Arabidopsis thaliana: one gene and its partners. The protein of the gene in region 2 interacts with the protein of the main gene of each other region in a pairwise test. Each region holds a gene or a part of one and is shown on either strand. Other genes may lie near its edges.

Evidence for each region.
Region 1: the proteins of AT2G43850 (region 2) and PTR4 interact in a protein complementation assay, tested with the Arabidopsis thaliana proteins (one large-scale study listed by BioGRID).
Region 3: the proteins of AT2G43850 (region 2) and PTR2 interact in a protein complementation assay, tested with the Arabidopsis thaliana proteins (one large-scale study listed by BioGRID).
Region 4: the proteins of AT2G43850 (region 2) and CNGC17 interact in a protein complementation assay, tested with the Arabidopsis thaliana proteins (one large-scale study listed by BioGRID).

What each region holds. Positions count from the first base shown.
Region 1 is NC_003071.7:476,502-483,592, forward strand, and holds PTR4 (Major facilitator superfamily protein), read left to right. Parts: upstream 1-2,475; 5' UTR 2,476-2,615; coding exon 2,616-2,672; intron 2,673-2,746; coding exon 2,747-2,849; intron 2,850-2,950; coding exon 2,951-3,168; intron 3,169-3,247; coding exon 3,248-3,734; intron 3,735-3,828; coding exon of another isoform or gene 3,829-3,857; coding exon 3,858-4,630; 3' UTR 4,631-4,684; downstream 4,685-7,091. Other genes in the region: GAD4 (glutamate decarboxylase 4), read right to left, coding at 1-150; AT2G02023 (uncharacterized protein), read right to left, coding at 4,966-5,277; AT2G02026 (uncharacterized protein), read left to right, coding at 5,406-5,585; AT2G02030 (F-box family protein), read left to right, coding at 5,834-5,904, 6,395-7,091.
Region 2 is NC_003071.7:18,156,842-18,165,053, reverse strand, and holds AT2G43850 (Integrin-linked protein kinase family), read left to right. Parts: upstream 1-2,871; 5' UTR 2,872-3,069; coding exon 3,070-3,507; intron 3,508-3,593; coding exon 3,594-3,668; intron 3,669-3,754; coding exon 3,755-3,859; coding exon of another isoform or gene 3,860-3,863; intron 3,864-3,961; coding exon 3,962-4,047; intron 4,048-4,188; coding exon 4,189-4,309; intron 4,310-4,386; coding exon 4,387-4,466; intron 4,467-4,553; coding exon 4,554-4,616; intron 4,617-4,726; coding exon 4,727-4,848; intron 4,849-4,936; coding exon 4,937-5,022; intron 5,023-5,096; coding exon 5,097-5,221; intron 5,222-5,318; coding exon 5,319-5,450; coding exon of another isoform or gene 5,451-5,454; intron 5,455-5,530; coding exon 5,531-5,537; 3' UTR 5,538-5,872; downstream 5,873-8,212. Other genes in the region: AT2G43860 (Pectin lyase-like superfamily protein), read left to right, coding at 626-1,087, 1,167-1,456, 1,554-1,779, 1,870-2,109; UGT74F1 (UDP-glycosyltransferase 74 F1), read right to left, coding at 5,888-6,613, 6,750-7,373.
Region 3 is NC_003071.7:484,745-492,437, reverse strand, and holds PTR2 (peptide transporter 2), read right to left. Parts: upstream 5,041-7,693; 5' UTR 4,897-5,040; coding exon 4,840-4,896; intron 4,585-4,839; coding exon 4,267-4,584; intron 4,189-4,266; coding exon 3,632-4,188; intron 3,557-3,631; coding exon 2,731-3,556; 3' UTR 2,497-2,730; downstream 1-2,496. Other genes in the region: AT2G02050 (NADH-ubiquinone oxidoreductase B18 subunit), read right to left, coding at 2,103-2,414. UniProt on the Arabidopsis thaliana protein: Peptide transporter. Mediates the transport of di- and tripeptides. High affinity, low capacity transporter. Can also transport histidine.
Region 4 is NC_003075.7:14,852,320-14,860,853, forward strand, and holds CNGC17 (cyclic nucleotide-gated channel 17), read right to left. Parts: upstream 5,701-8,534; 5' UTR 5,461-5,700; coding exon 5,432-5,460; intron 5,221-5,431; coding exon 4,464-5,220; intron 4,380-4,463; coding exon 4,081-4,379; intron 3,977-4,080; coding exon 3,865-3,976; intron 3,782-3,864; coding exon 3,545-3,781; intron 3,470-3,544; coding exon 2,741-3,469; 3' UTR 2,375-2,740; downstream 1-2,374. Other genes in the region: AT4G30370 (RING/U-box superfamily protein), read right to left, coding at 6,424-6,954; AT4G30380 (Barwin-related endoglucanase), read left to right, coding at 8,167-8,266, 8,398-8,534. UniProt on the Arabidopsis thaliana protein: Probable cyclic nucleotide-gated ion channel. Forms a functional cation-translocating unit with AHAs that is activated by PSKR1/BAK1 and possibly other BAK1/RLK complexes. Required for PSK-induced protoplast expansion.

The DNA of each region.
Region 1 (7,091 bases), about 18 Mb from region 2:
TTTCAACTTCGAACTTTGATTTTTGGGTTTGAAATGAACAAGAGGAAAGAATGTGTAGTAGTGTTTTTGTTTTGTAGTTGAAGAAGAATGTGTGGAATTAGAGGAAGAGGAGCAAATGGTATATATAGTAGAGAGAATGTGTCTCTTCATTTCGTGTTTTGCATCGTGAAAGGAAGCATCGCTGGTCCTTATTTATGTGCTCCTTTTTCAAACCTTTTCCTTACCAATGACTTTTCCTCATTATAATATTTAGACCAATGAATTACTAACTTTTAGAAACACGAATACTTTTATTACTATCGTATACAAATTCCGACCGTCATCTTTTTATTGGATCTTTCTAAGTTATCGTGAACATTTTATTAGTGATTTTGATTTTGTTTATTTAGCATCTCCCGCGATTTGATCAATTTCACACTTACATAATTATGTGAATATTACAAACGCGTTACGCGTAAAATGTGAATATAGTACTAGATTATATTGTTTTCGTGATTCCTTTTTGCTGTCAATGGAATTTATACCAATAAGCTAGAAACCAAATTCGAACTTATATTGGTATCACCACTAAAGGACATTGACTTTTTGTTGTAAGATCTCATATTACCATCTCTAAAGTATAAAAATTCAAATAAACATCAAACCCATGGTCTGACCTAATTAAACAAATAAAGTTAGGCGATTTATCAAACCTCCCACATGTTTAGACTAGCTTTAGAATAGCCCTAGCTTGGGTTAATTTTGTTGAAAACTAGAATCCACTAGCCCTAGCTTGGGTTAATTACGTTGAATACTACAGCTTGATCAGCATTGTTTCTAGATTACCTTTTTTTTTTTTTTTTCAATTGTACATAGGATTTACTTATATTTTCGAATGGATACATGAAACAAGAATACTTCATCATATATGTTTATATTTTTTAAAAAATCAGATTTTATAGACAATTCTATTTTGACTATTCAGGATATTATTAAATACAGTTTTCATTTTCTTTATCTATCTTGTTTTTATTTTTTGACTGAAGGACTTGTCAGTAACAAAAGTAAAACAACAGGTTTGTTATATCTTGTTTTTTTTTGTCTCCCCCAAATGATTTTCAGAAATAAAAATATTTGTGAGTGGCACTCATACGTAATTAAGAGGCAGGGAATGGGGCATAACTGGCAGTAAGAAACAAAAGAAGAAAAATAGTAAAAGTCAAAAGTCGACCCATCAGTCACTCTCTAACGCGTTAGTCAATGGGAACCGGCAAATGGAGACCGAGACGCCACTCGCCGAACCGGCAATTATGGGTAACCGCCACCGGTTTACTTCTCTAAAGTTCTGACTTTCCTTAATTATTGCAACACGAATTTTGAAATGGCCAATTAATACATGCTCTGTTCGGTTTTGTTTGTACTAGTCAACTATTAGCGACCGAATTATTGACTATTCAATAGTTCAACGTTAAATTATTAAGGACAATTCAAAACTATTCCTTTCATATTCAACATTTTTATTTAGAGACAAAATCACCAATCCATAATTTAATTTATTTATTTATTAATCATTTAAGCGGTTCGAAAACTATATCACTAAAATCAATTGGTAAACCAATAAATTACAAAACGATCATGATTTACTAGAGCTTCTCGTTTTTGAGGTTGAAGACTGTTGGTCTCCCAAAAAAAAAAAATCAATTTACCCCAAAACTATTTTTATTTTGCATTAATTAATTATTATCATAAAACTTTATTAACACCATAAATTGCATTTGGTGCTTCAAAAAATAAAATAGTATTTATTTACTTAATTCCTTACCAAATATTTTATATCCAAGTTGTGGAGGTCATAAAATTGGCCCAACAAGTACAAATTAGGAAACCCACTAATATTTAAAGCCCAATAGGTCCACTCAATTTTGCAATTTCTTAAAACGTGTTGTTAACAAGAACACATTTTATGGTCCAGTGGTCACCGCCACCAACTTCTCGACTTCGAGAGAGACAAGAGTAATCCAACGATCTGGTTGATAGTGGTAACACTGTTCCAATGAGCATTTTTTGGCATATCCCTCAATATATCTTTATTGGGAACATCTAGCGTTTTGTTCTTTCTTAGTCGGCTTGATTTTTTCTATGAACAATCTCTAGATGCAAAATTTGTGTAGTGCTTGGACTCTTCACTCGGCTCATTGATTCTTACACTTGTTGCATATTTCACGACAATGAACCTTAGTAACGGTCATCTTGATTACTATTTTTGGCTTTTGGTCTGTCTTGGCTTTGTTAATTTACCGGTTTGGCTAGAAAGGTTTCGTAAGATTTGTTTGATGTCTTCTTTAAAACTTGAAGTCTCTAACTTGTTTGATAACTTTTGTTGTGTTAGGGGAAAAGTGTGCTATGGCTCAAAATTTGCTTAATGCTTAAGTCTAATCAGATTAATAAAGTTTGTGTGGTTTTATATTCCCTCTTTTTTTTTATAACATTTTTTAAAGAATGTGGTTCTGTGGTGAGTGACCACTCACACCACCAACAACAACTTGGTCAGTGGGAGGATCATTTTATTTGATCCTTCGTTGAGAAGCTTAAATCAGCTTTACGTGAAAATTGTCATGTTGAGGAGAAAGTAAAAAATGGCTTCCATTGATGAAGAAAGGTCACTTCTTGAAGTTGAAGAATCTCTTATACAGGTTCAACCTCATTGTCATTGTTTCTTTAGTGTTTTGGGGTCTAAATCTTTGTTGACTAATTCGTTTTTCTCCAGGAAGAAGTAAAATTATATGCTGAAGATGGTTCAATAGATATTCATGGAAACCCACCATTGAAGCAGACAACAGGAAACTGGAAAGCTTGTCCATTCATTTTTGGTAAACACTTTGTTTTATTTCACTTGTAATGTACTTGTTGTATTCTCTCATGTTCTGTCTTTAATCTCCAAAAACTGATATCTATGCTTTGGTTGGTGCAGCAAACGAATGCTGCGAACGGTTGGCTTATTATGGAATTGCCAAGAATCTCATCACGTACTTCACAAATGAATTGCATGAGACTAATGTTTCTGCTGCTAGACACGTCATGACATGGCAAGGAACATGTTACATCACTCCTCTTATTGGAGCTTTAATAGCTGATGCTTACTGGGGAAGATATTGGACTATTGCTTGTTTCTCTGCCATTTATTTCACCGTAAGCATTTTCTTGAAAAATAACTTTGCTTTATGTTCTGTTCTTGGCTTGATGTTCTGTTCTTTGATGTTGTTTTAAGGGAATGGTTGCATTGACACTCTCAGCTTCAGTTCCGGGTCTTAAGCCAGCGGAATGCATTGGCTCTCTATGTCCACCAGCAACAATGGTTCAGTCTACGGTTTTATTTTCAGGGCTTTACCTTATCGCTCTTGGCACTGGAGGAATCAAACCATGTGTCTCATCCTTTGGTGCTGATCAGTTTGATAAGACCGATCCAAGCGAACGAGTCAGAAAAGCTTCTTTCTTTAACTGGTTTTACTTCACTATCAACATTGGTGCTTTTGTTTCATCTACTGTTCTAGTTTGGATTCAAGAGAATTATGGATGGGAATTAGGATTCTTGATACCTACCGTGTTCATGGGACTTGCTACTATGAGTTTCTTCTTTGGCACGCCGCTTTATAGATTTCAGAAACCGAGAGGTAGCCCGATTACTAGCGTCTGCCAAGTTCTTGTAGCCGCATACCGTAAATCGAATCTCAAGGTCCCTGAAGACTCCACGGACGGTTACAAGAAAATCTTTTTCCCTCTCATTTCTTGTTTGAATTGAGCATTAGTCTATTAACGGTTAAATAAACGGGTTGTGATATCAATGTACAGGTTTCTTGACAAAGCGGCAATTATATCAGAAGGAGATGCAAACACTAACCCGTGGAAGCTATGTACCGTGACTCAAGTCGAAGAAGTTAAGATTCTGTTACGTTTGGTCCCCATTTGGGCCTCAGGAATCATCTTCTCAGTTCTCCATTCACAGATTTACACTCTCTTTGTTCAACAAGGACGGTGCATGAAACGAACCATCGGCTTATTCGAAATCCCTCCCGCAACTCTCGGGATGTTCGACACTGCAAGTGTTCTCATATCTGTCCCAATCTATGACCGCGTCATCGTTCCCTTAGTGAGACGGTTCACAGGCTTAGCTAAAGGATTCACCGAGCTACAAAGAATGGGGATTGGTCTTTTTGTCTCTGTTTTGAGCTTGACATTTGCAGCTATCGTTGAGACGGTTCGGTTACAGTTAGCTAGAGATCTTGATCTAGTGGAAAGTGGAGACATTGTTCCATTAAACATCTTTTGGCAAATCCCTCAGTACTTTTTAATGGGCACTGCTGGAGTTTTCTTCTTTGTTGGGAGGATTGAGTTTTTCTATGAGCAATCTCCAGATTCAATGAGAAGCTTGTGTAGTGCTTGGGCTCTTCTCACTACTACACTAGGAAACTACTTGAGCTCGTTGATCATTACCCTTGTGGCGTATTTGAGCGGAAAAGATTGTTGGATTCCTTCAGACAACATTAACAATGGACATCTTGATTACTTCTTCTGGCTTTTGGTCAGTCTTGGATCTGTTAACATACCTGTTTTTGTCTTCTTCTCTGTGAAATATACTCATATGAAGGTTTGATCTCTTCTTCTGGCTCTTGTGTGTACTTTCAAAATTGTTTTTTTTTAAACCAGCAAATCAGTTATATTAAATCATAACGGTTTACATGATACATACAACAACCATTCAAATATAACTATTGAAACAAATAAAGGAAATTGAACACAATTTTGATGAAGAAGTGTAAGTGACCCTGCTTTCGAAACGGAAGCCTTACAGGCAACAAAATAAATCTGTTAAGTCCTCTCATCATACACTCGCAAAAAGCTAACATCTTATAGATGAAACTCCTAAATGCTTTCTGCATTACTTTAATAAAACGAAGAATTTGGTAAGTTGCTCGAAATGGTTCTGAATCATGCTTTTTGAAACGCTCTGCACCGGTTAATGACTATGGATTTTCCTTTTACAAGACTCACTAACGGATTCAATCCATTAGTTTTCATTTTCTCTTGCGCCAATTTGTCAAATCTTCGAAGACATAATATTCCCGGAACCCATATTCGTCGACCGAAGCACCAGTTGTGAGGAAGAGTCGCTACGAGCCTCATTTGATCTTCGGCTAAAACCTCTTGCAACGGTTCACTAGGAAGCGCACCAGAGTCAATCGAAGATTGGCAATGTATTGCCAAATTGACATCGCAATGGGATGTTCCCATCACAGACATAAAAGATGCTTAGCGGATCCGTCGAACAACTTCTCCACACCGGCATCGAAATAGAAATTTACCGTTCCCATGAAGAGAAGGAGGCAAAGAAATCGGCTCCATTGTAATGGAAACCATAAGAAAATTTTATGAAAGAGAGACATGGCAGTTACTATGAAATGATTAAACCGCACCAAGAGAGAAGAGAACAACGCACTGGTCGTATGTTTGATGCAACATACGTTGGTGATGGTGCCCATGATGTTTGCGACAAGATCTGCTTCTTCATGGTGATGATGGTCACAACAAGTTATGTTAATCTTGCTTGACGACGGATCGTGATTTGTTCGAGACAGGCCCGTCTCTGGGGGTGGCAAGGTAGGCAAATGCCTAGGGTTACTAACTAATTTCAAAAAAATTGTTAAGACTAAAAGGCCCCAATATTTCAAAAAAAAAAATTTACTAAGAAATTTTATTTTATTTTGGGTTTTGCCATAGGTCCCATAATGAATTGAGCCGGGAGACTGTTTGGTCAGTTTCGTCACGACAGATTTTGGACAACCCAACCAATGGTGTAATGAGTGGCAAAACCAGTTCTCGCGGCCAACAAGATGAGATATCCGGCGAAAAACATGAACCGACACCAACGTAAGGAGAAGAGAGAGAAAGACGATAATCGCCAAAATAATCACTCACAAATTTGTTTTTATTTTATTTTAGGGGAATTTAGTTAAATTTTGAATTATTATAGTTCTTGGATTCAGAAGTTATTTACGTCAATCTAAGATTTGAGTTAATCTAGGCAAATCTTAGTATTATTTACTATGTAAATGAATTACATTATTCCAATTAGAGATTTGTTCTAACAATTTTGTAGTTATTTTAATCTTAAAAGTTTGAGGCTTTGAGCCATGGATAATAACGGAAAACAATTCTCAAATAAAAAAATAACAAAGAAACATTAAACTATATAGATATATACATCATAATTCACGTTGATTCCAGCCACTCTTTATGACGGTTACAAAGAAAATATGGAAACAGAACTTATAAATTCAGCGCACATTGAATTTCACAAGAGTCAGAAGAAATCGATGGAGAAACTCCTTACGATCAAATAAGTTTCTTTGTCCGCAAGAAAAGAAATCAAACGAAGAAGAAAAGAGTTTGAGAAGATCCATATACCTAACGAAATCGTCGAAGAAATCTTGGTGAGGCTGCCGGTGAAATCGCTCACGAGATTTCAAACTGTGTCAAAACACTGGAGAACTCTGATCACGTCGAAGTATTTCGGAAAAAGACACATGGCTCTTGAGAAAAGCAAAGGATGCAAACTCCTTTTTGTTTGTGATGATTTTGTAGATCGTGCAGAGGACACTCTGTTTTTAAAAACAGTTGCCTTGGAGAAGACGTCAGTTTCTGAGGGAGATGAACAAGCTTTCGAATTCGAAGGATATAAGGGGTTTCTCGATATTTCCGAGAGCTGTGATGGCCTTGTCTGCTTCTACGACACTACAAGAGCAGTGGAAGTAATGAATCCGGCCACAACAATGTTCATAGAACTCCCTCTATCGAGAATCCAACAGCTTTGTATATACAAGCCAAACCCGGAGGTGGAGCTGGAGCCAGTTCAAGATCCAAATCCTGTTCTAGACCCAGTCATGACATGTTCTCAGATTGGAGTTGGGAAAGACAGCGTTAGTGGAAGTTATAAACTAGTATGGATGTATAATACTTCTCCTGCTACTCCTCCTACGTGCGAGGTTTTGGATTTAGATGGAAAAAAATGGAGGTTCGTGAATACTACTTCTCTTGATCATCATCAGATCTTGTGC
Region 2 (8,212 bases):
TTGTTAACTTACCAAACGAGTATAGGTGAATGTTAGAAAATCGAAAGTACGGATACTGTTCTAGCGATCGGCAAAGTTAAAGAACTTGAACATGCATGCGCTATGATTTTTTATATAAATCACTAAAGTAGTTAAGTTAGTGAATATTAAATCATAGTGATACCAAAAAAAATACATAAAAGGACACCACAATCCTAAGAGGTAATAAATCTTCTTCTTCTTGTTTTCTTCATTCCATAATTAATTAATCCAAAAACGAGAGCCACCAAATCGATCCATAATCAAAATTTTCCAATTAAATCAATCCATATAACTATCTCTGTCGAAAACGACTAATCTAATTTCGTACATTACCGTACACTAATGCAGTCATCTAAGGAAACTTATCTTGCGAATAATTACTATTATTTCATTAAACCAACCAAATTTTATTACATAACAAATTACCCGGTTATCTAGGTACACAAGTTGACACAATGGTAGATATTAATAAAATCAAGAAAGTTCCATATAAACTAATCATTACGTTACTATCGTAAATCCTATAAATTCCCATCTCATGTACCTTCTTCTACAATATCCTTCATCCTTAAAACACTAACCTTCTCTGAAAAAAATCCAAAAAATGGTTTATAACACTTCATGCCTTATTCTTCCTTTGGCTCTCATCATTCTTGATTTTACCTTAATCTCATCATTAGCCCATCCGATTCCAAGCACACTCAACGTCTTATCCTACGGAGCTAAACCAGACGGCTCAAAAGACTCAACCAAAGCCTTCTTAGCCGCATGGGACGTTGCTTGTGCATCCGCTAATCCTACAACTATAATCGTACCAAAAGGACGGTTCTTGGTCGGGAACCTTGTTTTTCATGGCAACGAGTGTAAGCAAGCGCCAATATCTATTCGTATAGCAGGCTCAATCGTTGCTCCGGAAGATTTTAGAATTATCGCAAGCTCAAAACATTGGATCTGGTTCGAGGATGTTACTGATGTTTCAATCTACGGTGGAATACTTGACGCTCAAGGCACTAGTTTGTGGAAATGCAAGAACAACGGTGGCCATAATTGTCCTACCGGTGCCAAGGTATGCTTGACCCACAAGAAACAACAAATTTAACTCTCATGAGGTTTTTAATTTTTTTTTTTGTTAATCTTATTTGTAGAGTTTGGTGTTTAGTGGGTCAAATAACATCAAAATCAGTGGTTTAACGTCGATCAACAGCCAGAAATTCCATATAGTCATCGATAATAGCAATAACGTGAACATTGACGGCGTTAAGGTTTCTGCTGATGAGAATAGCCCTAATACCGATGGGATTCACGTCGAATCATCTCACTCCGTCCATATCACTAACTCAAGAATCGGAACCGGTGATGATTGCATCTCCATCGGTCCAGGATCCACTAATGTATTCATACAAACCATTCGATGCGGTCCAGGCCACGGCATCAGGTAACACACACATACATTTCTTGCTCCCCATCTTTCTTGATATTTCACTTTCTAAAATGTTCTCTTGTTTTTTTTGTTTGTGTGAACTCTCCAACAGTATTGGAAGTCTTGGACGAGCAGAGGAAGAACAAGGAGTAGATAATGTGACCGTGAGTAACGTGGATTTCATGGGAACGAATAACGGAGTTAGGATCAAAACATGGGGGAAAGATAGCAACAGTTTCGCTAGAAACATTGTTTTCCAACATATTAACATGAAGATGGTCAAGAACCCAATCATTATAGACCAACACTACTGTCTTCATAAACCTTGCCCTAAACAGGTAAGAATATTTATTAATTAACCATATCTTTACACCCATAACTCGATATATTGACTCATTTAATCTGTATATTAATTTCTATTATTATAGGAATCAGGAGTTAAAGTATCAAATGTGAGATATGAAGATATACACGGGACTTCGAATACGGAAGTGGCGGTTTTGTTAGATTGTAGTAAGGAGAAACCATGTACCGGTATTGTAATGGACGATGTGAATCTTGTCTCTGTTCATCGACCGGCTCAGGCGTCTTGCGATAATGCAAATGGATCAGCGAACGACGTTGTCCCATTCACTCCTTGTCTAAAGAGGGAGATCATTATAACTTAACTATAAATGGATCGCTGAACGACGTCGTCCCGATTGCTCCATGACTAAAAGATGAGTTCATGTAGATATATCTGCGAACGACGTTGTCCTATTTGCTACTTGTTGTTTGATCGTTGAGAATCTTTTTTTTTTCTTTTTTCTTGTTTTGTTTTTGATAATTTCTTTGAGAATCTTTGTAATCCAAACTATGAAGTAATGATTAAATTTTGGTTCGCATACTACATATAGATGATTTCTGTAGTAATTGTGTCTATAGATATTTTGAGAGATATGGACCAAACAACTTGTGAAAAAGTAACATAATTGGATGAAATAGAAGGTGATGGAAATATATGGGTGTGAATTAAAGTAAAACATAAACTAACTGGAAAATGATTAGTATACATTAATGGTTGATTAATAGCCGACCCATTAAGGCATTAACTATTCTTATACTATACTATAATTAACCTATGGAGCATATGAGATTTGATACTATTATTACATAAAAAATTAGTGGAGTAGCACCATATTTTTTAGTTTTTAATATTTAAAATTTACCATCATCCTCTCCACTTCACTAAAAAAAAAGTCAAAAACCCACTTTCTCCAGGTTGTATTCCATTATATTAAAGTTTTATCTTTTAATTAGTTTCATCTATATATAATCTACATGGGATTATAATCCAATCAAGGCTTTACCTCCAAAATAGATATTTTGTGTAACGAACTTTTTGGTTAATTTCGTTTATGGATAATAGTCTCAATTAATTACAAAAAGATAGAAAATTTAAACGGACTATATACGATCGTTTGTTTGCTGTGTGACTTGTCGTCTTCTTCTTCTGACTCAACCTCCATTGACCAACCCTCCAAAGACGGCAATGTGGGTTTTATTCTTAATCCATTGATCTCTTGTTGTGAGGTTTTTTGAGAATTTGCGTAAAGGAAGAAACTTTTTCAAAACTTTTTTTTGCATCAATGGAGAACATAACCGCGCAGCTCAAACGAGGTATCTCAAGACAATTCTCAACTGGTTCGATTCGTCGAACATTGAGCCGACAGTTCACGCGTCAGTCATCTCTTGACCCTCGTAGGACCAACATGAGGTTTAGTTTCGGTCGTCAGTCTTCTCTCGATCCGATCAGGAGGAGTCCTGATTCTTCCAAGAGTGATGACGAGCCACATATGTCGGTACCGGAGAATCTCGATTCGACGATGCAGCTTCTCTTTATGGCTAGCAAAGGTGATGTCAGAGGAATCGAGGAGCTTCTTGACGAAGGAATTGATGTTAATAGCATCGATCTTGATGGCCGGACGGCGCTTCACATCGCCGCTTGTGAGGGACATCTTGGTGTCGTTAAGGCTCTTCTTAGCCGGAGAGCTAACATTGATGCTCGTGATCGATGGGGAAGTACGGTCTGTCTTCTTCTCTTAACCCTCTAGATTCGAGAAGTTGACATTTAGGGATAAAGTTGACATTTTTATGTTGTCTGGTGAATTAGGCGGCTGCTGATGCAAAGTACTATGGGAATTTAGATGTTTACAATCTCTTGAAGGCTCGAGGAGCTAAAGTTCCGGTAAGAAATTTTCATTGATTTTGGATTCGATTGGTGTTTTGTTCATGTGTTTGTTTTGTGAAAGGCTTTTATCTTCACACTTATAGAAAACTAGGAAGACTCCGATGACTGTGTCGAATCCACGAGAAGTTCCTGAGTATGAGCTTAATCCACTTGAGGTTCAAGTCAGGAAATCTGATGGCATCTCAAAGGCATGTTCTTTGCTCTCTTAGATAGACACATTTGTGAACATCATTGTTCTTGGAGCAGGTTTGATTTATTCAAATCAATGGATGTTGTTTGATTGTTTTCAGGGAGCATATCAAGTAGCTAAATGGAATGGCACGCGGGTTTCAGTCAAAATACTTGATAAAGATAGTTACTCAGACCCGGAACGCATGTATGCATCTACTACTTGTGTCCTTTATTATGTGTTACATTTGAGTGATCCACCCCTAAATTTTGTTTGCTAAGCTGTGTGATTTGGTTTGGCATGAAGAAACTGATTCTGCTTTGTCTTTCTGGCTTTTAATCTGAACAGAAACGCATTTAGACATGAATTGACGTTGCTAGAAAAAGTCCGGCATCCAAATGTTATCCAGTTTGTTGGAGCTGTCACTCAGAATATACCGATGATGATTGTAGTCGAGTATAATCCGAAAGTGAGCATCTTTACTTGTCTTCTCCCTTCTGAGTTTACCTTTATTCACTAATCATCTCAATGTCGTCTCTGTTGCAGGGAGATTTAAGTGTATATCTCCAAAAGAAAGGACGTCTTTCTCCATCCAAGGCACTTAGATTTGCTCTTGATATTGCCAGGTATGTTAGATTCTCATGTATTGCTGCTAAGGTTACTGTAACTGTGAGTACCTCACCGGATGGTTTTCGTGGTTTTTCTCGTGTCAGAGGCATGAACTACCTCCATGAATGTAAACCAGATCCAATCATTCACTGTGATCTAAAGCCAAAGTAAGAGAATTAAAGGCATATGTCGATTAGATACGTTAAAAGCTTTTGGTACATACTCATTGAGATGTTTCTTTTCGTTTAATTTTTCGAAATTTTTCGTAAGGTGTCAGAAATATTTTGCTGGATAGAGGAGGGCAATTAAAGATCTCAGGATTTGGTATGATAAGATTGTCGAAAATTTCACAAGACAAGGCGAAAGTAGCAAACCACAAAGCACATATAGATCTCTCTAGTAAGGAGAATGCTTCATTCACATGCATGAAAACTGAATCTCTTGGTAAGATCTATGATCATTGAAAAAAATGCATTCTTGATTGCAGATTACTACATTGCACCAGAGGTTTATAAAGACGAAATATTCGACCTAAGGGTTGATGCACACTCCTTTGGTGTCATTTTATACGAGGTACATTTCCTCGTCTTGCTCTGTTTTTTTATTCTTGTGTTTCTCTAATCTTGTTAGTGTGCGTTTCTGGTCAGATAACAGAGGGAGTACCAGTTTTCCATCCGAGACCTCCTGAAGAAGTTGCGAGAATGATGTGCTTAGAAGGAAAGAGACCTGTATTCAAAACTAAGTCAAGAAGTTACCCTCCAGATATAAAAGAGTAAGCTCTAAAACTATTTGGAACCAAGAATTATCTATTGCCTATGCAAGAACTTGGAGTGTCGGATTCTTAACCTGTTATATCGCTTACTCTGCAGGTTGATCGAGAAATGTTGGCATCCAGAAGCGGGTATTAGACCGACATTCTCTGAAATTATTATTCGACTTGACAAAATAGTAGCAAATTGCTCTAAACAAGGATGGTGGAAAGACACATTCAAGTTCCCTTGGTAAGATTTCATCTTCTCATATAATCTATAGTTAAAGCAGAGAGGAAAGATTGTGTGTGTTTTAATGTTTTCTTTCACAGGAAATAAAAGGGGAAGAAGAAGGAGGGAGAAACAAGAAGAGCGTGAGATTTGTGGACAAAATCCGATTCAGTGTTTCTCAGTCATATGAACATGGACAAACTCACTTGCTATGTATATTTTTTGTGTAGAACAAAAAACAGAAGATAATTTCTTCTTTTTGTCATTCCACATCTTTATGGGGCTGTATGCATAAGTTTGTATAGTTTATAAACGCGTTACTGTATAACAAACACAAGAACTCCGGCTCGTTGCAATTAGAGGATGAACAAACAACAGATGAAGAATCATTTTGAAAGGTTTTATTGAAATATCCATCAAGAGATATAAAATCTTTGCTACTTTATCATGTGCTTAACTTATTTGATTTGAATTTTTGATACAAATTCGTTAATGTTGATATCTGTAGAACCTCCTTCACTGAGTGACTTCACAGCCAAGTCTCTCCATTTTCCCGCATTCTCTTTCATCTCTTTGCTCTTCTCTCCTTCCATCACTTCCTTGATGCTAAACTCAATCTCCTCTCTTTTGCAAATGCCACTTTCTTTCTCTGCTTTCACACGAACCCCAACCTTCCATACATCTTGTATATACTTTGCATTCATTGGTTGATCAGTCCATTGAGGCATAGCCACCATGGGAACCCCTAAACTCAAACCCTCCATGGTTGAGTTCCAGCCACAGTGAGTCATGAAACAACCGATGGCTTTGTTTGACAGAACTTGAAGCTGAGGACTCCACTTCAAGACCAAGCTCTTGTCTTTATCCACTGTTTCAAGAAACCCTGGTGGGAGCTTTGACTCCTCTGAAGCTCTGACAACCCAGAGGTAGCTGAAGTTGCTTATCGCCGAAGCAATCTCTTCCATCTGCTCACTACTCAGTTTAGCCATGCTCCCAAAAGCTATATATACTACCGATCCTTCTGGCCTCTTGTCTAGCCAGTCAGTGCATAAGGCAGCTTCTTTTAAGTCAAAGAGGTTCAGATCATAGTCGTTGTCTGATTTGATCTGTTGGTCTAAGTACATTGATGGAACAGTTGGACCAATTGTCAACACAGGACATACTTTCGACAACAACTCCTCTTCCTGTAGACGGAAATCAGAGAACAGAAAAATAGTCATTAGGTGATAAAACAGAGTAGCTAAGGGAAAAACAGGGTAGCTAGGTCAAAAAGAACAGAGTAACTAGGGCAAAAACAGAGTAGTTAGGAAATGAACTAACATGAAGGTCGAGGTCATGGAAGGAATTAACGAGTACGAAATCAGCTTTGTCGAAGTTGGTGAACTGTTGAAGCACCATCTCAAAGTAAGCAAGGTGTGAACCAGTAGGAGTGACGAAAGTAGGCAAATCTTGGAGCTCAAGAAGAGGCAAATCCTTGATGGGAAGTGTCAAGCTACCATTGTTTATGTAAGAAAGATAATTGATATAGTTAACGGCGCAAGACTGCGTGAAGAAAGGAGCCGCAGCTAGACCAAAATCCATTGCAAGGTCAAGCGCCCAAGGCATGAAAGAATCATAGACGATACAAGTAATAGGGTTATCAGTACTCTGGTGTTTGCGGATGATATCAGCGACGGTTTTGGAGCCGAAGGTTTTGAAGTTTTGTAGGTACTCCGGGACAGAACCGGCTGATGAGAACCCTCCCTGGTCATAGCCATCGGAGATTGTGGCTATGGAGATAGGACTAGATGGGTCGAGGTGGATTGTGTTGAAGATAAAAGTGGTGAGAGTGTGAGTGGTTTTGAAACCTTTGGAGTGAAGTCGTTTGCAGAATTGGCGAATCGGGGTGATGTGTCCTTGGCTTGGAAATGGCACTGCTAATACATGTCCTCTCATCTTCTCCATCTCTCTCTCTCTCGTTATCTCTCTCTGTCGCTCTCAATCTTTTGCTTTCCGCAGAACGAATAAAGGGATATTGGGAATATACATATATTAATAGACTTGTGAGGTTCTTCCAGAAGACAACAGCTTTTCATCAGAGCAAGAAAAGAAAATGGTCCAAAAAAAAACTAAATAAGGGTGACAAGTGAAAAGCTTGGATTTTAAGTTTTATTTCTTTTTACTTTATTGTGTTATCTTTGGGAAGATGGAGAGTACATAGACACATGGAAATGAAAATGGGACGTAATAACAAAGTCAGAAGATTCTCTACGGTTCTGTAGTTAGAATAAAAGATCTCGACAACATTTTTAATTTAGTTGCAACTAGTATAATTAAAATTTTGCAGGAAATCAATTGTGAATATATATGTAAGAGATTTAAAATTTAAGGAAATAGAAATATCCAATTAGGAAGTCAATAAGTGAAATTTTCTACCGCTCTATAGTTAGAATAAGATCTCGGCAAAATGTTTATTATAATAGCAAATATGGGTGTTATAAAAAAATTCTAAACCTTAGTATATTAAAAAAAATCTAAACCTAACAAAGCCAAAAAAAAATCAAAAATCAAATGTCAAGTGATGTATATGTTAAACCTAACAAAGCCAAAAAAATAATGTATGCATTTGGTAAACCAAATAAAGCAAGAATAGCAGCCAAGCACTAGCAGTTCATAAAGGGTTCAGAACTTGGAGTACTAATTTGCATGCAAGTATCAATATCTCGGTTTGATATAAAACTAAACTGAAAATAAACTCAAAATAAAAATTTCGAGAATGGGACATTTCTTTAAATATAAACTTT
Region 3 (7,693 bases), about 18 Mb from region 2:
CCTAAATCGAAAGAGGTCGAACCCAACAACTAAAAGCAGAAACAAAGGCACAAACCCTTTTAAACTACTAATCTCTAGAATCAACAAGTCCTCTTTTCTGAAGCAACTACGGATGAGATTTACCAAAAATGCTCGCGGCCAACCTAAAGATAACATCAACCACCTCCTATCAATATGACTCTCAATATGAGAGCCAATCTATCGTAACTTCTACGATTCTTGTTCCATGTTTTTATGCCTTCCACATATCAAGGAATATATAACTACAAAGTGGTATACTTTTTTTCGTATCTATAATCCTCTTTTGATTCTATCATAAATGACAACTCATTTTCTGTCGGATTCCTCTAATCACCATTACCGTTTAGACTTCTAGTATTTCACTAATTTCGTTAGATGGTTCTTCCAGTGAAGTGATTTGGTTCTATAAGCAATGTGTCAGTGATCTCATATATATTTTTTATTTCTCACAGATTAAAGATAGAAAACCAACAAAAAGATGAGTTTTGCATCTTATTTTTTGGGAAACCACTCCAAGTTAAAAAGAGTTCAAAAAAAAAAAAAAGATAGAGAATCTTGAACATTCACATCTGAAAATGTAGCAACAATTTTTCATCACTAGCAAGAAGAAAAAGATTGAAAAGCAGAGTCCCCACCATCTTCACAGTTCCAGAGAATCCCTGTCCAAATATTTTCAGAGTGTGAATTAGGACTCAGAAGAATGAATAAACAATCAAATCAGGAGAAAACAAAATCATTGTCATGTTGAAGAATCTTAGACCAAGTATTTAGGGGTCTATCTTTATAACAGAGAAAACACCCATTGGTGTCAAATCATAATGGCATATACAATGAACAAGTAGTGAAACACATAAGAACGATATGAAAAAGGAAAGAATCACACAAGCATGCAAGAGTACTCAATGGCAAGTGAGAACAAGAAGATGAGAGACATTAAGAGATTTGTTCTGTAGCTGTTGTGACATAAAATACCAAAACAACAAAGCAGAAAACGTTTAGACACAGGTATGTAGTTGGTGCTGTAATTATACAATTCTTCTCACGGATTTATAAGTAACACAAAGTGACTGTACCAATTCTTAGCCATGAATATCTGAGACACAATTTACAAGTTCACAAAAGATATATATCAATCATAAGAATTTCAAAGCCTAGAAGTGTGAGATCATAAATCAAACATAAAAGATATAGTCTAACGAATAGACTTGGGTCTAGTTAATCAGTGAAACTCTCTTGTATCCTTTTTAAGGGTCTGTAACACAAAGCGACTGTAACAATTGCTAGTCATGATATCAGATTACAAGATCTTAAAACAGAGAACGGGCAAAAGAAGTTGTAAACACAAAAGATATAGTCTAACGACTTGAATTGTGTCCTGTTAAGCAGTGAAACACTCTTATATCCTCTACGGGTCTGTAACACAAAGTCACTGTAACAATTGCTAGTCATGATATCTGAGACACTATTTACAAGTTCATCGAACATATAACTTGCAAACATAAAAGATATAGTCTAACGAATTGAATTGTGTCCTGTTAATCAGTAAAACACACTTAAATCCTTATATAGTCTAAAGGTTCCAGCAAATTAGTGCTACTGATTACTTAAAGACTTATCTATTAAGCTTTGAAAAGGAAACATCATGAAAAAACAAAATCTGTAGAAAATCCAGTCAATGATGGAATTTTCCTTATCCAAACTTCAGATATCATTGAGATACTTTACAACAAGAAGTACAAAGTCCAGACATTTCTCTAACATGATTGATACAGAACAATTGTGATTGCAGTCTAAGAGAAATTGAATCCAATTGTAGTCAAATGTTCACAACAGAGGCAACAAAATTGCTAAGACGAGAGAATTCACAATTCAAAACCAAGATAATGCATTAGACATCTAATTGAACAAGCAATCTCATTTATTCCCAATGAAACCCTAATTTGGAATTTGAAGAACACGAAGATCTGATCATGTAGCAGAAGAAACAAACCAATTCAATCAAATCAACCAAAACACAAGAAATCGAAAAACTATAGACTAACCGGAATCTGGAATCGGCAAATTGGAGAAGGAATCGAATCCTAAGCATTAGCAGTTTTAGGGATAAGAGGAACAGCAGCGTTTCCTTGTAGTTTATTCTGTTTAGCCAAAGCTTCTTCTTCACGGATCTTCTTCATCGCAAGCATTCTCTCCATAACAAGCTCGTATTCACACTTCTCATAAACGTGACGCTCGTCTTCACATTTCCATGGAAGGTAAAACTCAGCCTGACGACATTTGTTGAGCGGAATCAAGAGATGAGCGCACATATCTCTAGATCCAAGTGCTATTTTAGCTGCAGACATCTCTTCTTGCGTTGCGATCATCTTCTTCGATGAACCTGGAACCTCCATTTTCGCGATCCCCAAACCTCACAACGATACTCTCTTCTTCTTCTTCGATTTTATTGACCCGGAACATTCTTCTTCTCCGGGTCATATTTGTGCCCGTTTGATATGGGCCAAAAGCCCATTTGATTTACTAAGCCTATGGACAATTTCTCTCAATTTAGTATTCGAACCCTGAATTGTTTATAATATTGCAAATGCGACTTAAACTTTTGAAATTGAAAGGAAAAGTACACAGCAATGTTGTTATTGATACAGAGACAGTTACAGTTGAAAGAAACAAACTTTTGTATGTAATGAAAGTAGATAGATAACAGCATTACTACGACGAAGCTTTCTTTTGCTTATACCTAGCAGCAGAGAAGAAGTAAACCGCCATGTTCACAAGGCTAAGACCAGCCAAGAGCCAGAAGAAGTAATCGAGATGACCTGAATTGAGATTATCCGAAATCCAACCTTCTTGCCCATTTCTTGTTGTAAAATAAGTCACGAGCGTGAGGATCAACGAGCTCAAGTAGTTACCAAGTGCATTGGTCAAAAGAGCCAAGGCACTGCACAAGCTTCTCATTGCATCTGGAGATTGGTCGTAGAAGAACTCGAGCTGACCGATGAAGTAGAATACTTCGGCTGCACCGAGAATGAAGTACTGTGGAATCTGCCACAAGACGGATATGGGAACTGGGGCTCCTGACTCGACTAATCCAAGATCGTTGGCCATATGGAGACGGATGATTTCGACGATAGCTGCAGCTGCCATACAGAGAACAGAGACAAACAGACCAATTCCCATTCTTTGTATCTCAGTGAATCCTTTGTCTACTCCTGTGAACTTTCTTGCTAAGGGAACGATGAACCGGTCGTAGAGCGGCACCCAGATGATGACGCTTGCTGTGTCGAATGTCCCGAGTGCTGCAGGAGGAAGCTGGAATGATCCAATTTTGCAGTTCATGGCTCGGCCTTGTTGAACAAACATTGTGGACATTTGTGCGTATACAGCTGAGAAAATGATACCAGAAGCCCAGATTGGGAACATTCGGATCAGAATCTTGAGTTCTTCGACTTGCGTAACCGTGCATAGTCTCCACGAGTTGGAATAATCTCCGGATTTCGATTCTTCTTCTGAGATAACAGCGGCTTTGTCAAGATACCTGCATCATACCAGAATAACTTGTTAAACCAAGTAAAGCTATACATTACTGGAAAGCAATGAAGCGGATATTTACTGGCAATCATCGGTATGCTCGATTTTTCTACTTCCAGCAATAGCAGAGTTCTTGTCTTGAGTTTCATACAGAAGTGTGGCGTCTTCAGGGACTTTGACAGACGATTTCCGGAACGAAGCAACCACGACTTGGGAAATCCGAGTTATAGGGCTTCCTCCAGGTTTCTGAAACCTATAAAGAGGTGTGCCAAAGAAGAAACTTGCAATGGCTAGTCCCATGAACACTGTTGGTATCCCAAACCCTAAACCCCACCCGCGATTCTCTTGAATCCAAACTAGAAGACTAGATGACACAAGTGCTCCAATATTGATGGAGAAGTAAAACCAGTTAAAGAACGAAGCTTTTCTAACTCGTTCCCGAGAGTCCGTGTCATCAAACTGATCGGCACCGAAGGATGAGACACACGGTTTGATACCTCCAGTTCCAAGAGCGATCAGGTAAAGCCCACCAAAGAACATCGCATACTGAGCTGGCGTTGCAGATGGACAAAAGTCACCAATACATTCCGCTGGCTTCAATGCCGGAACTGAAGCTGAAAGAGTTAACGCAGACATCCCCTAAACAAATACAAAAACCTATCAGTAATCAGGAGCAAACAAACCAAACCAAACATTACACAGAGAAGCAATGCTTACGATGAAATAAATCCCGGAGAAACAAGCGATGGTCCAGTAACGTCCCCAGTAAGCATCAGCCAGAACAGCTCCAATGAGAGGAGTGAGATAACAAGTCCCTTGCCATGTGGTAACGTTTGTAGCAGCAGAAACATTTCCTTGGTGAAGCTTAGTGGTGAGGTAAGTGATTAAATTCCCAGCAATACCATAGTAAGCTAGCCTCTCACAACATTCATTACCAAGAATAAAAGGACAAGCTTTCCAGTTTCCTGTTTTCTCCTTCAATGGTGGGTTTCCATTAAAGTCCACTGAACCATCTTCAGCATACAATTTCACTTCCTACTTAAAACAAATTCACAAAACATTTTTGATTAGCTAACTAAACTATAACTGTATCAAAGCTCGAAACTTTGATCTATATCTACTTGCAAAATTCAAACATTGGAATCATCAATTAGATAAAACAGTGATTGCCCAGAAAAGATCTCAATAAACCCAGAAAGAAAATGCATAAGATCAATCTAAAGTCAAGATTTTGGAATTGAGTAAAATCAAAATTCGCTAACCTAAGTGATTAATTGAAATTGAACAAACCTGTAAAATTAAACCTTCTTCGATGAGAGGTCTTGCTTCTTCTTCGATGGAACCCATCGTTTTCGTTTTTTGAGCTGAACCAATTTAGATTCCTTACGTTGAAGCTACCTATCTAACGATACTCTATTATTTATCGGAGACGTGACGGCTTTTTATTTTACTTTTCCCGGCGACTTATTGGAAAATAAAAATCAAAACTTTGATTATAATAAGAGAAGTAATTAACAAAACTCATCTTTTTACGAATTTTTTGTTATTATTATGACGTAAAGATAGAATTGTGGATCAACCTGTTACCTGTCCATGTCTCAAGTTGTTGATATCACTCTAATCAAGAATTTTTTTTTTACATATATGTGTTTCTAAAACAATACATCATCAATACGTTGTTGATATCAGTAAATCGTTTGGGGACTCAGATAACAAACAGTAATTATCAGCCAATCTCTCTATAAACCCTGAAAGAACAAGAATGCTCAATAATATGTAGCTCAAGTCAGCAAAATTAGGAGAAATGGAAATTAAAACTCGATAACCTAGATCATTAATTGTACGTTGAAACTATATAAACTCTCCTATTATTTTTTGGTAAATGTGACAAATTTTTTATATTCCTTTTCCCGGCGAAATTTGTTTTTATTGGACTATAGACATCGGCTTTGTTTACATATTTTTCTAAGGTCTGTGCTTAAACTTCAAATGGGAATTATATATATATATATATATTTTCTTTGTGATTCACATAGAAATTAATTTGTGTTTTTATCACAAAATCATTTCATAACTATATGTGGCCAACTTTGATTGATTCCACAACTTGATTCATAGGGTGCATAGAGAATGTGGTACGACCATCTATAGATTCATCATCCATCATCTCTTGTAAGAACAAAATCATTTGTTTCTATATCAAATAAGGTGTTATAAAAACTAAAAAAAAAAAGATTCTCCACAACTTGAGTCCATAGAGAGTGTGGTACTACGACCATCTATAGATTCATCATCCATCATCCCTTGTAAAAACAAACTCTTTTGTTTTTATATAAGATAAGGTGTTATAAAAACTAAAAAAAAAAAATATTCTCCACAACCCAAGAGAAAATTCGGTAAAACAAACAGCTTTGAGAAAATGAAAAAGAACACAAATGTATGGTGCAAAGAAGAAACTAGTCTCAAGAGAGAAAATATTGATTTTATCTAATACTCTACAAAAACCCAAAACTCTTGAAAACATAACATAATTTTCTCAAATGTATTGTGCAAATAAGAAACTAGTAGAAAATAAATGATAAGATTGATTAGCTATTGACTAAAGAAAACCTTTAATTCTATACACAAATTTTTTCGAGAAAATAATTTACCTTTCGTTTAACGAAAGATTAGAATTTTTTTTTACATTTAGCGATACTTCGCTGGGATAGAAGAAGTGATGCTAGTATCTTATCCCATCTCTTAAGTCCGTAATTTTTTATCCCCTCGAGTAGAAGAACAAGTAGAAGATTATCTTCCTGCGATTTCATTCGTCGTATATTAAAAAGGGTATATAATTTTCTCGAAAAGTATTTGAGAAATATAAAAATAAGGTGTAGATGAATTGAAAGAGAGATGATAGATGGTTTAGGGCAAACAAGTGAAGTAGAGTCTAGATTATATAGGTTTGTGTAAGTATTTGTTTTTTACGTGAGAAATTATTTTAATGTGGGCTTTAATATTATTAGTAAGTAATGTGTGGCTTTATTCTTTTGCTCATTTGGATGATTAAATTAGGCAAAATTTTCAAACTCATTTGACTAAACATAATTGGACAATTTGAATGGAGATGGATTAGTCAAAATAACAAATGACAAATATGCTCTAATTCTTCAAACGATCATTTTGTTTATAAAATTTTATATAGAAAAACTAGATAATCACAGAAAAAAAAACAAAACAATCTGCCTATACGATTACAAAGTGTTAAGAATTTATATGCAATGAGTCGGAATCCTAAACTAAGAAACATTTTTTATAATGATCGGTACAAGTATGTAACCGATCAGTTCTGGACATCTTATGTACTGACTCTTACGATTGTCAAGGTCGGTCGTGATCTTCAATCTTTTTTCATTTGATGCATTTTGCTGATTTGCTCTATTTTCCTAAACTCCCAGTTTTATCCAAACAAATCCAAAAACTTTACTTGACAAGAAAATTCAATAATATATACTACAAAGACATAAAAGTGTTAAAAATATATAATAATTTAACAAATTTGTTTTAGTTTTAGTTTTGTGAGTTTGTTAGTTTGTTAAACGGAGTTGTTAACAAATTAGTTGTTTTCTTGAATTAATCAATCTACTTGTACAATTGGTTTTATTAGTTAACTGAGTTAGTTTCTCTCTACTCTTTCGTTTACGTTCTCTCTTTACTTTAGCTTCAATATCCAAACAGTGATATTGATACCTTTGGAAACTATAAAACCATAAATGTCGAATAACTCACACATATTTACATATAGTGAAAAATATTACAAAATATTACAATCACAAGAAGAATAATTAATTATGTAGATACCACACACATATATATATATATATATATATATATATTTATATATAATTAATTCTTTTTTTTGTGCAAAATTTACAATAATTAATTAATATATGATTTCATGTCTCTTTCTTCTTACTCACACGTGATTTCACTTCATATCTCTTAACCAAAATATACAATAATTTTTTTTGTTTGATTAAAAAAAAAACCATAAATGTCGTATGTGGTATAGGTAGTTTCACTTGATGGACTCATAATCAGTTGAAATAGTTAGTCTTAGATCAAATATAATTCAGGTTTAAACACACACAAAAAAATCAAA
Region 4 (8,534 bases), on a different chromosome or scaffold from region 2:
AACATCTTGATATTTGGGGTTTTAATTTCACTGGAAATTAGTCGTCTTTGAGTGTCAATTTGGTCAATACGCGATTTAGAGAAATGGGAGATCAAAACAAAGTTGAAAACCACCAAACCGGTTTGACCAAAACATGTTTCAAAATTCAAAATGTAAAGCGATCGGACCACACGTAGTGATCACTCCTTTTGTGCTCTTGGGGTCATACTTTGAATTTATCATTTATGATGACCATTGTTTCAAAGCTTCAACCTACAAATCGGTCAACTACCGATAATAAATTTAAACCTAACTAAACGTATGATAACAATAAACGACTACGACATTTGGTCTAGTGATCTATACTATACATGACGCCATGGCTTTTCAAGTTCAATTTAGACTGCTAGATCGAATTTAAATTACATTGATTCGATCGGTACATCTTCAAGTTAATCATATGTCATCACGAATTATTTTTTACCCTTTTTCAGTGTAGCGAGTTTCTTTAATAGCTAATATGATAGGAGTATTCACATTCTCTTTCATATATATAAGTGGATTCATATGCATTGGACATTAATATCTAAATCTACCACTTAACAACTACATGCATGCCTAGTGAATTCACATGGTCCATATGCCTACGTATATATATATATATATATATATATGTTTTTAATGAAATTTTCAATATTGTAGTGGCTGCATAGTACATCTAAATCTAATTGATGAAAGACAATTTTCGACACAGTAAATAATTTCGAGATTTTAAGTACATGTCTTTATTTGTTTGAAAGTCTTCTAGACGACTTATTAAGTATACAATTTTTTTTTTGATATATATTTTGAATTACTGAAACAAGTTGATGCAATAGTCGTGTTTTATTTTTGGCTTTTACAGGTCGTATAACTCCGGTTCTCTGCTAGACACTTGAAGACAAAGCCTCCAAAACTGCCTTTTACTTCCTTCGCCTTTTTAGATATTACATACTATTAGTAATATTCTATGAGTGGAAGATAAGGCTGAAGTTTTGTGGTACTTTGTTTATACATAACTAAAAGCATCTCCAATTCTTTTCAAGTATTAAAAAATACGGATTTGTTTGAAATAAAGCAACTGATAACCTAATTATTGACAACAAATTATTAAGGGGATATAGTTTAATATTATTTTGAAATAAAGGATTTTTGCCAAAGAGAAGCACTAGAACAAGGAGAAGACAAACCAAAACATGCCTTTATATCATTCAATTATTTAGTTATATAAATGGACCTTATGGTCTCTCTCTTTCTATCTTTTTGGTGGATTTGCATTATGCCTCCTCACTTAGTTAAATATTTTTTCTTACTTAAATATATCCTGTCAAAAGTGAGAAAGATTAAGCTATTGGACACTATAGTAGTTGAAAATTCTTAAATATTAAATTAGATTCAATTTATCTCACAGAAAGATTCATCATACACCATGCCAATACTTGATCTTGAAGTGACAAAAAGAAACTCATAATATCATCAATGTGAGAGTGTAATTGAATAGTCTTCAAGTGGAAAATAAAATAATGTAGCAAATGCTGCAACTTTACTCAAAGACCTATTTCCTGTTTAATATATATTCTAGCCTTTTCTCTTTTAATTATTGTAATTATAGGCATGAAAAGGATGTGAAGATAATGATTTACGAATATAAGTATGTATTAAATTATGTTATAACTAAAAGGGGTCGCGGATCTCAACCTTACATGATTGAAACCTAATGTTGAATTTGAGCTTTTTGGAAAGGGGACATGAACTTAACTTCTCTAGTGAGCAACTACACACTATAAGGTACAACTACTATGTCATCTCTTAATATATGCATGCATGTTTAAAAATTTCACATATTAATAAACGATTCAAAATATTAATATATGTTACTATAATTATGATTGTTGAAAACCATTGTTTTCATGATTCAGTTTCCGTTCAATCTAACTTCTTGTGCCATACTATATTGTTATTGTCATTCAAGACCATAAAATTTATTTGTATATTATATGGGACAAGAAATTTTCAGAAACTTTTCAATATGTTAGTTTAAAATATTTACAACTTTTTAAATCGACTAAGAATCCATGATTACATTGAGCTGGTCTTGTGGCCATATTGCAAAAAGAAAAATCCCAAATATGTATGTAATCCTGTAATGTAGATTATGATTTGATCCGACATATCTAGGTCAGTAGAGAAAGCAAGTAAACATTTTAACTTTTTCCCATGGACCAAAGTCCAAACTCATCATTAGTATGATCTTATGTCTATTGATTAAGTGAGTCTACCTTTCTTTAAAAAGAAGCTTGTGTCGATAGCAATATGCAACATGCTCAAGAAAATATATTTTTTCTTTCTTTACCATCTTATTCTCAACGTTACAGTAAGTCAGTAACCACGGCATATAGGGGCTTTGACGAATGGGCTTAGACATCTTTTTACTTCCTTGTTGGTTCAATCAATTTTGCAAGGTTTGATGTGATTTGTACATAATCCACTTCAACTTCCTCATCTTTACATTTAGAGAATTTAGAAACGAGTTCTTTAATAGTACAACAAAACTAATTCTCCAAGCTTATATTACAAAAGATGTTTAAGTGTACAAACCAAAACCCGCCTTGAGTTTCTTTCTTTATGTCTCCCAAAGGAACAGGAAACTTACTCTGTAGTGTTCTTGTCATTAAGATCTTCTATGGAACAAAGTCAGCTTCTTCTCCTGGTTATACATCAGTCAATCATCATGCTCAGCAGAGAAATCAGGCTCCTCGGGTTTCTTAAACCGGGGTAATTCTACATCCTTAACTCTCTGAGCTGCAACACCGCGTCTTGTATTAGCTGCAAAACGCGATGCCAAAACCATAACTCCAAGGTTCATCTTTGTTCTAGGACTCTCCTCAACACACTCTTCTTCTTCTACTACTACTAATTCTTCTCCTACTTCTCCTTCTTCATTTTCCATTGATTCAATCGCAGTGAGGTTATTCTCCATAACTCTTCTCTTGTACCTGCGCCAAGCCGCTTGTATGAAGCAAGCAGCCCAAGTTCTCCAATGGTGAGAGTAGAATCTGAATGTATGTTGAAGCTTCTTGCTGTGTAACCGCCTAAACTGATTTGCAACAAATTTCAAATCTTCAGCTCGAAGAGCGAATGCTTCGACTTCAACTAAAGCCCTAACTGTTCTTGTAGAAGATGGTAAATTCAAGGTTGATTTTGGAAGCAAAGCCCAAGAAAGAAGCTCTTCCCCACAGAAATCTCCAGGTCTAAGTATAATCGAGTTGAAGAAACCGGTTCTGCCTCCATTGGTTGTGGAACTCTCGAGTCTACCTCTGATGATGAAGAGCATCTCTGAGATCAAGTCACCTTCACGTACAAGGTAAGTCCCTTCAGTACACAGAGAAGAAACCAGGCGCTCACATATCGCATCAAGCAGCTGATCATCCATTTGAGAGAAAAATGGGACCTGCATGATTCAAGATAGTAGTTAACCTAAAAGTTGAACCATTTGTAGGATAAACAAATCAATAGAAAAACTTACTCTTCGAACAAGATCTAAACATAGGTGACGTTGAATATCACGGCGAAGATCAGTGGGTAAACTTTGCAGGAGAACCTCTTCATCGACTCCTCTTGTTGCAAGCCACTTATACTGCTCATATCGCCTCACACGGTTTCTCAACTCTTCAGGAAGTTGACGATGTCTCATCCACTCCTCAGTGTCTCTCTTCTTCAATCTCCATTCCTCAAGCCGTACAGTCAAAGATTGCAGATATGTCTAACAAACAAAAGGCAAAACCCAAGAAACATAAGAACAAAAGCAGATACTTTTAGAACTTATCCTAACGCAGGAATCCATACCTGCATATTCCCAATGAGATGGGCAAAGAGGACAAGACCAAAGATTGCAATGAGAACAGCAAATGTGGTTTCGCCCATGAACATGGTCGTGGACAAATTCTGTCCATAAGAACTAGAATATGACAATAACAGGAAAATGTCATCAGATTCTAAAACTTGTAATCAAAAGGAGAGTAATAATTGGTATCAAAAAATTTCTATGATCTCTGCCATTACCTAAGCTGCTGCAATCCCCACCACAAACAGTAGAAATATCTCTCGAAGAACTGTGAAGACACAACGTTTTTCGTGATTGCATTCCCAAAGATCCCATACTTGAACTCGCCATTCCGTGCATCACAGAGTTTAAACACTTTTGTGACATTTGCCCAAGTCATCTGATTATTGTCATACATTGAATCACAGTCTAAGTAATATAGCTGACAATTAACTTGGCCAGCTTCACCATTGCATCTTGATTTCCAGCACGATGTATATCTATCAACCGATAATATATACCAGGCTGCACCAAGCACCTGTCCCAACAAAAACATTGTAGCTTTGATTATCATCACATTTAAGGAATGAAATAATGGAAGAAGAAGGAATGGGATTCATACATGACTAGCCAGCATGTATAGCAAAAGATTATAAGCAGCTCCAGCCCAAGCAGTCTTTGTAACAACTCCAGTTGCTTTAACAATTTGAGAACTTAACGGAATTATCAAATAGAATCTTGGGATGTATTGGAGGAGCACAATCAAAGCAATAGCATTGTTGTTATGATCAAACCGGTAACTTTTTGTAGTCGATATAACAAACCAGATAACTATCTGTGGAAGTGGTAACGTCGCAATGAGATCGATGATGAAGTCAGATTTAATATACCTCCAAGCAATAGCCTTAGGATCCATCACAAGCTCACCTCTACCAAACACTCTAGTACTTGAATTAGGCGCAATGAAACCAGTCCTAAACTTAATGAAAATGTGCAGCAAGTAGAAAAGATCCGCTATTGTCCTGAAGAAAGTAACAAGGATGCTTAAACTTGTATCAGTCCTTGCACAAGGATAGTTTTTATCTCCTCCTATAGCTGGGACAAAGAAGTACAACGGGTCGATGAAGAGAGCAACCATACATGAGACAATGAAGACCCAATTCCATTTCAAGACAATCTCACTTCCTGGATCAAGAATAGTCTTGTACCATGAGACTTTAGAAGATTTGGACTTAGAAGCATCAGTGTATCTAAGTCTATTTCCAGGTAAGAGATTATCAGGTCTTAGTGCTGAAGGTAAAGAGAGCTTATAAGATTTGCTCATTGGATCATTCACTGCCCATTTAGCTTCTTTGCTTTCTTTCCCCTCTGAGTAAAACCTACAAAGCAATACACAACTCAAATCTGTAATCTGAAACCTAACTAGAGATTTAAGTTAAACCCAGTACCCAAAATCGGAGCTTGAGCTTGTAACATCTAAAGAAGAGATAAATCTAAAGCAAAGTCTAGAATTTTTAATTTCTGGGCAATCAAAGTTGAAGACTTTCAGGAACGTAAGTCTAACCGACGGATGAGAGAAAGAAAACTTACATAAGAAGCTTGTCCTTCCTTAACTCCATTAGAAGAAGCTCAAGCTCAAGCTCGAGTAAACAAATCTATGCAAATTAGAATTAACAGAAGCTTTTAAAAATCATTTCTTTGATTCGTGTCTCTGACACTCTCTCACTCTTACTCTCTCTAAATCTGAGAAAGATCGTGTTTTTGTTTAGTTCTTCCGGAGAGGATTGGAAGAGGAGAATCACTGAGTCACGGGACGAGTCAGAAATCGGAGGGATATTTGTTTTTTTTTCTTGGGAATACTTGAGCCATCGGTATAAGACAAGAAAGTCAACACATTTGACTAAAGTGACATTATTTCGTTAATCAAAGTCATTATTAGTTTACAATACAAAACACTAATTAGACAATGTTACTTGTTACTTCACAAAAACACTTCTTTAGTCTTATAGTCAGATCCAATCACAATCACTTTCTCCGTGTGAGTCACAATCTCACATTCCAATCAGAAAACGATTCTTTAGCCTCCTTTATTTTTATGTTCAATATAAACTTTTGAATCACACACTTGAAAACATAGTTGACATAACTTTGGAGGTGAAGTAGGTAAATTAAAATCACATGAACCAAGCTTTACTTAGAACTTATACTTCATCATGGACAAATTGAAACAGAAACATTGATGATTAACCACTGAATCTCAAGTGAAATTATGAGAAATCATTAAGGTAACATAAGCAACATGTTTAAAGTGACAAATGGACAACATTTCTATCAGTAATTGACTAGATTGAATTTAATAATTGGCATGATAATCAAACCTCAAACTAAGTTAAATTCTACAGAAACCCATCATTCTCTTATTGGATCAAATTCATCAAACGGTGAAGAAACAAGCTTTCAATTGTGAAGCCGTGTAAAAAAAAAAAAAAGACACTGTACATGACTATTGATGAAAACCAAAATTGCTGCTAAATATGATAACAAACTAAACACACTTTCAAATCTAATTATAAAACCACCGATCAAAAAATTTCACCTTGTGGTCTCCATCTTCTTCCTTCTTCAAATCTATAAACCCTATCCCTACAAATCGGACAAGTCGAGACTTTAATCAACCACAAGTCCACACACTTTCGGTGAAACACATGTCCACATCGAGGCAGCTTCCGACACCACTGTCCTTGTCTAAATCCATCGATACAAACAACACAATCATCGCCTCCGTACTCTGAACTAGGCTCACAATACTTGAATTGAGGAAGCCTCTTCACGCATCTTGGAGATAACCCATCTGAGTATTCGTGACGGCGATGGCGGCGGAGACGGTGGCGATAGTTTCGTTGAAGAAACCAGTAGAAAGCGAAGAAGAAGGTGAAACCGAGAGACGTGAGGATAAAGATAAAAGCGGTTATAGCTACAGGGATCATGATTAGACCTATGAGGAAGTTAGAGAGAATCTTCGTCGGTAGATTCTTCGTGTTCGCTTTTGGCGGCGGTGGAGACGGTGATGGCTCGCGGGAGATTGAGCCATCGTAGGGAATCGTTATCGACATCGACTTGCGGCGGAGATTAAAAATATTCTCTTTTACGAATCAAACTCTAATACTCTGTTTTAGGGCTAAATAAAGGAGAGATTTTTATGGATTTTGAAGATCGAAAATTTATCGGATTCAAAGTATATTGTACAAAAGAGTTTGTCTGATAGATATTTATATGCGGGAATATTCGGACATCTTTTTTATATCAGTTTTTGACGATAACTTTTTAACTAGTTTTGGCCCTTATGAGAGGAACTCGTGAGCAAAGTCTTTTTTTTTATATACCAAATTTTTCATTAAATTGATTAAATTTAACTAGAAAGAAGAAGATTAAGCGTATATAAACACAAATACACAGACACGTTTTAAAACAATGGGGTTCTGATAAATTATGTTACTAAATTTTGATCATACAGAATGTAGTTTGGCGTTACAAGAAAACTAGAGGAGAAAACAAAGGGCGAAACCAGACTTCATTTAAGGATAAAGTATTGGTGATGAGATTATATAAAATAGGGTTCAGTTTTGGGTTCCAATTATTATCTCTGTCCTCTGAGCTTCCTATCTGGTAATGCCGAGTGGGAAGTGATAAGGACAATCCGACAAGGGCAGCTTCCTCGGTAACTCCATTCCTTATGTCACCATACCTACCTTTACATTCAGAAATTCTTTGCATCATTTTTAATATTATCTCGTTGTTTCTCACGTTTTATTCCGGTTCATTTTGCGGTTATGATCCGGTTATCTTCGTGGTTGAGCTTGGTTTAGAATAATGTCTCTTATCGTCTCGTTCGGCCCATTAACGCTCGCCTCATAACTGTTCCATATGTACTAGTCCATAAATATTGATTTCACTACATTTAGGACCTATAAAAGGAGAGTTTTTTTCCTTTTGATGAATTGTTTTTATGAGATTGTTCATATAAATTTACGTGGCAAATTTGATCAGCGTAGTTAGTAAACGTTTTCTGGAGTCTTTGGCTGTAAATTTGCTATCAAATGAGGATAACAATCTTTCTAAACCTTTAGTCAACACAGATAAGAAGAAATTAAATATAACAAATTTACAACTATACACATGTTAAAAAATGGGAACAGTCAAAGATATTTCAATGGCAAACAATTACAATACATGCATATTTAGAGTTAGTCATATAATATATAGCAGATATATAAATAGATATGTCACATTTCAAAGATAAACACTCTTACAAATAAATACGAATCATGAGTAAAAGTATTGTGTTTTTTTCTACCGTTCTTGTTTTTCTCTTCTCTTTCTCATATGCAACTCCCGGGATTGCAACTTTTTACACAAGTTACACTCGTAAGAATTTTTGTGTGTTTTACTACCAAAATTATAAAACAAATACAAACAACAAACTTATCTTATACATTTTCATATCAACCTACAGCGAAATGTTATAAAATCATTTTCTTTTATTTCATGTTTGATAGCATCAGCATGTTACAGAGGTACTCAAGAAGGAGTGATGATCGCTGCAGCGAGTGATACATTATGGGACAATGGTCGAGTTTGTGGCAAAATGTTCACCGTGAAATGCAGCGGACCTCGTAACGCCGTGCCTCACCCT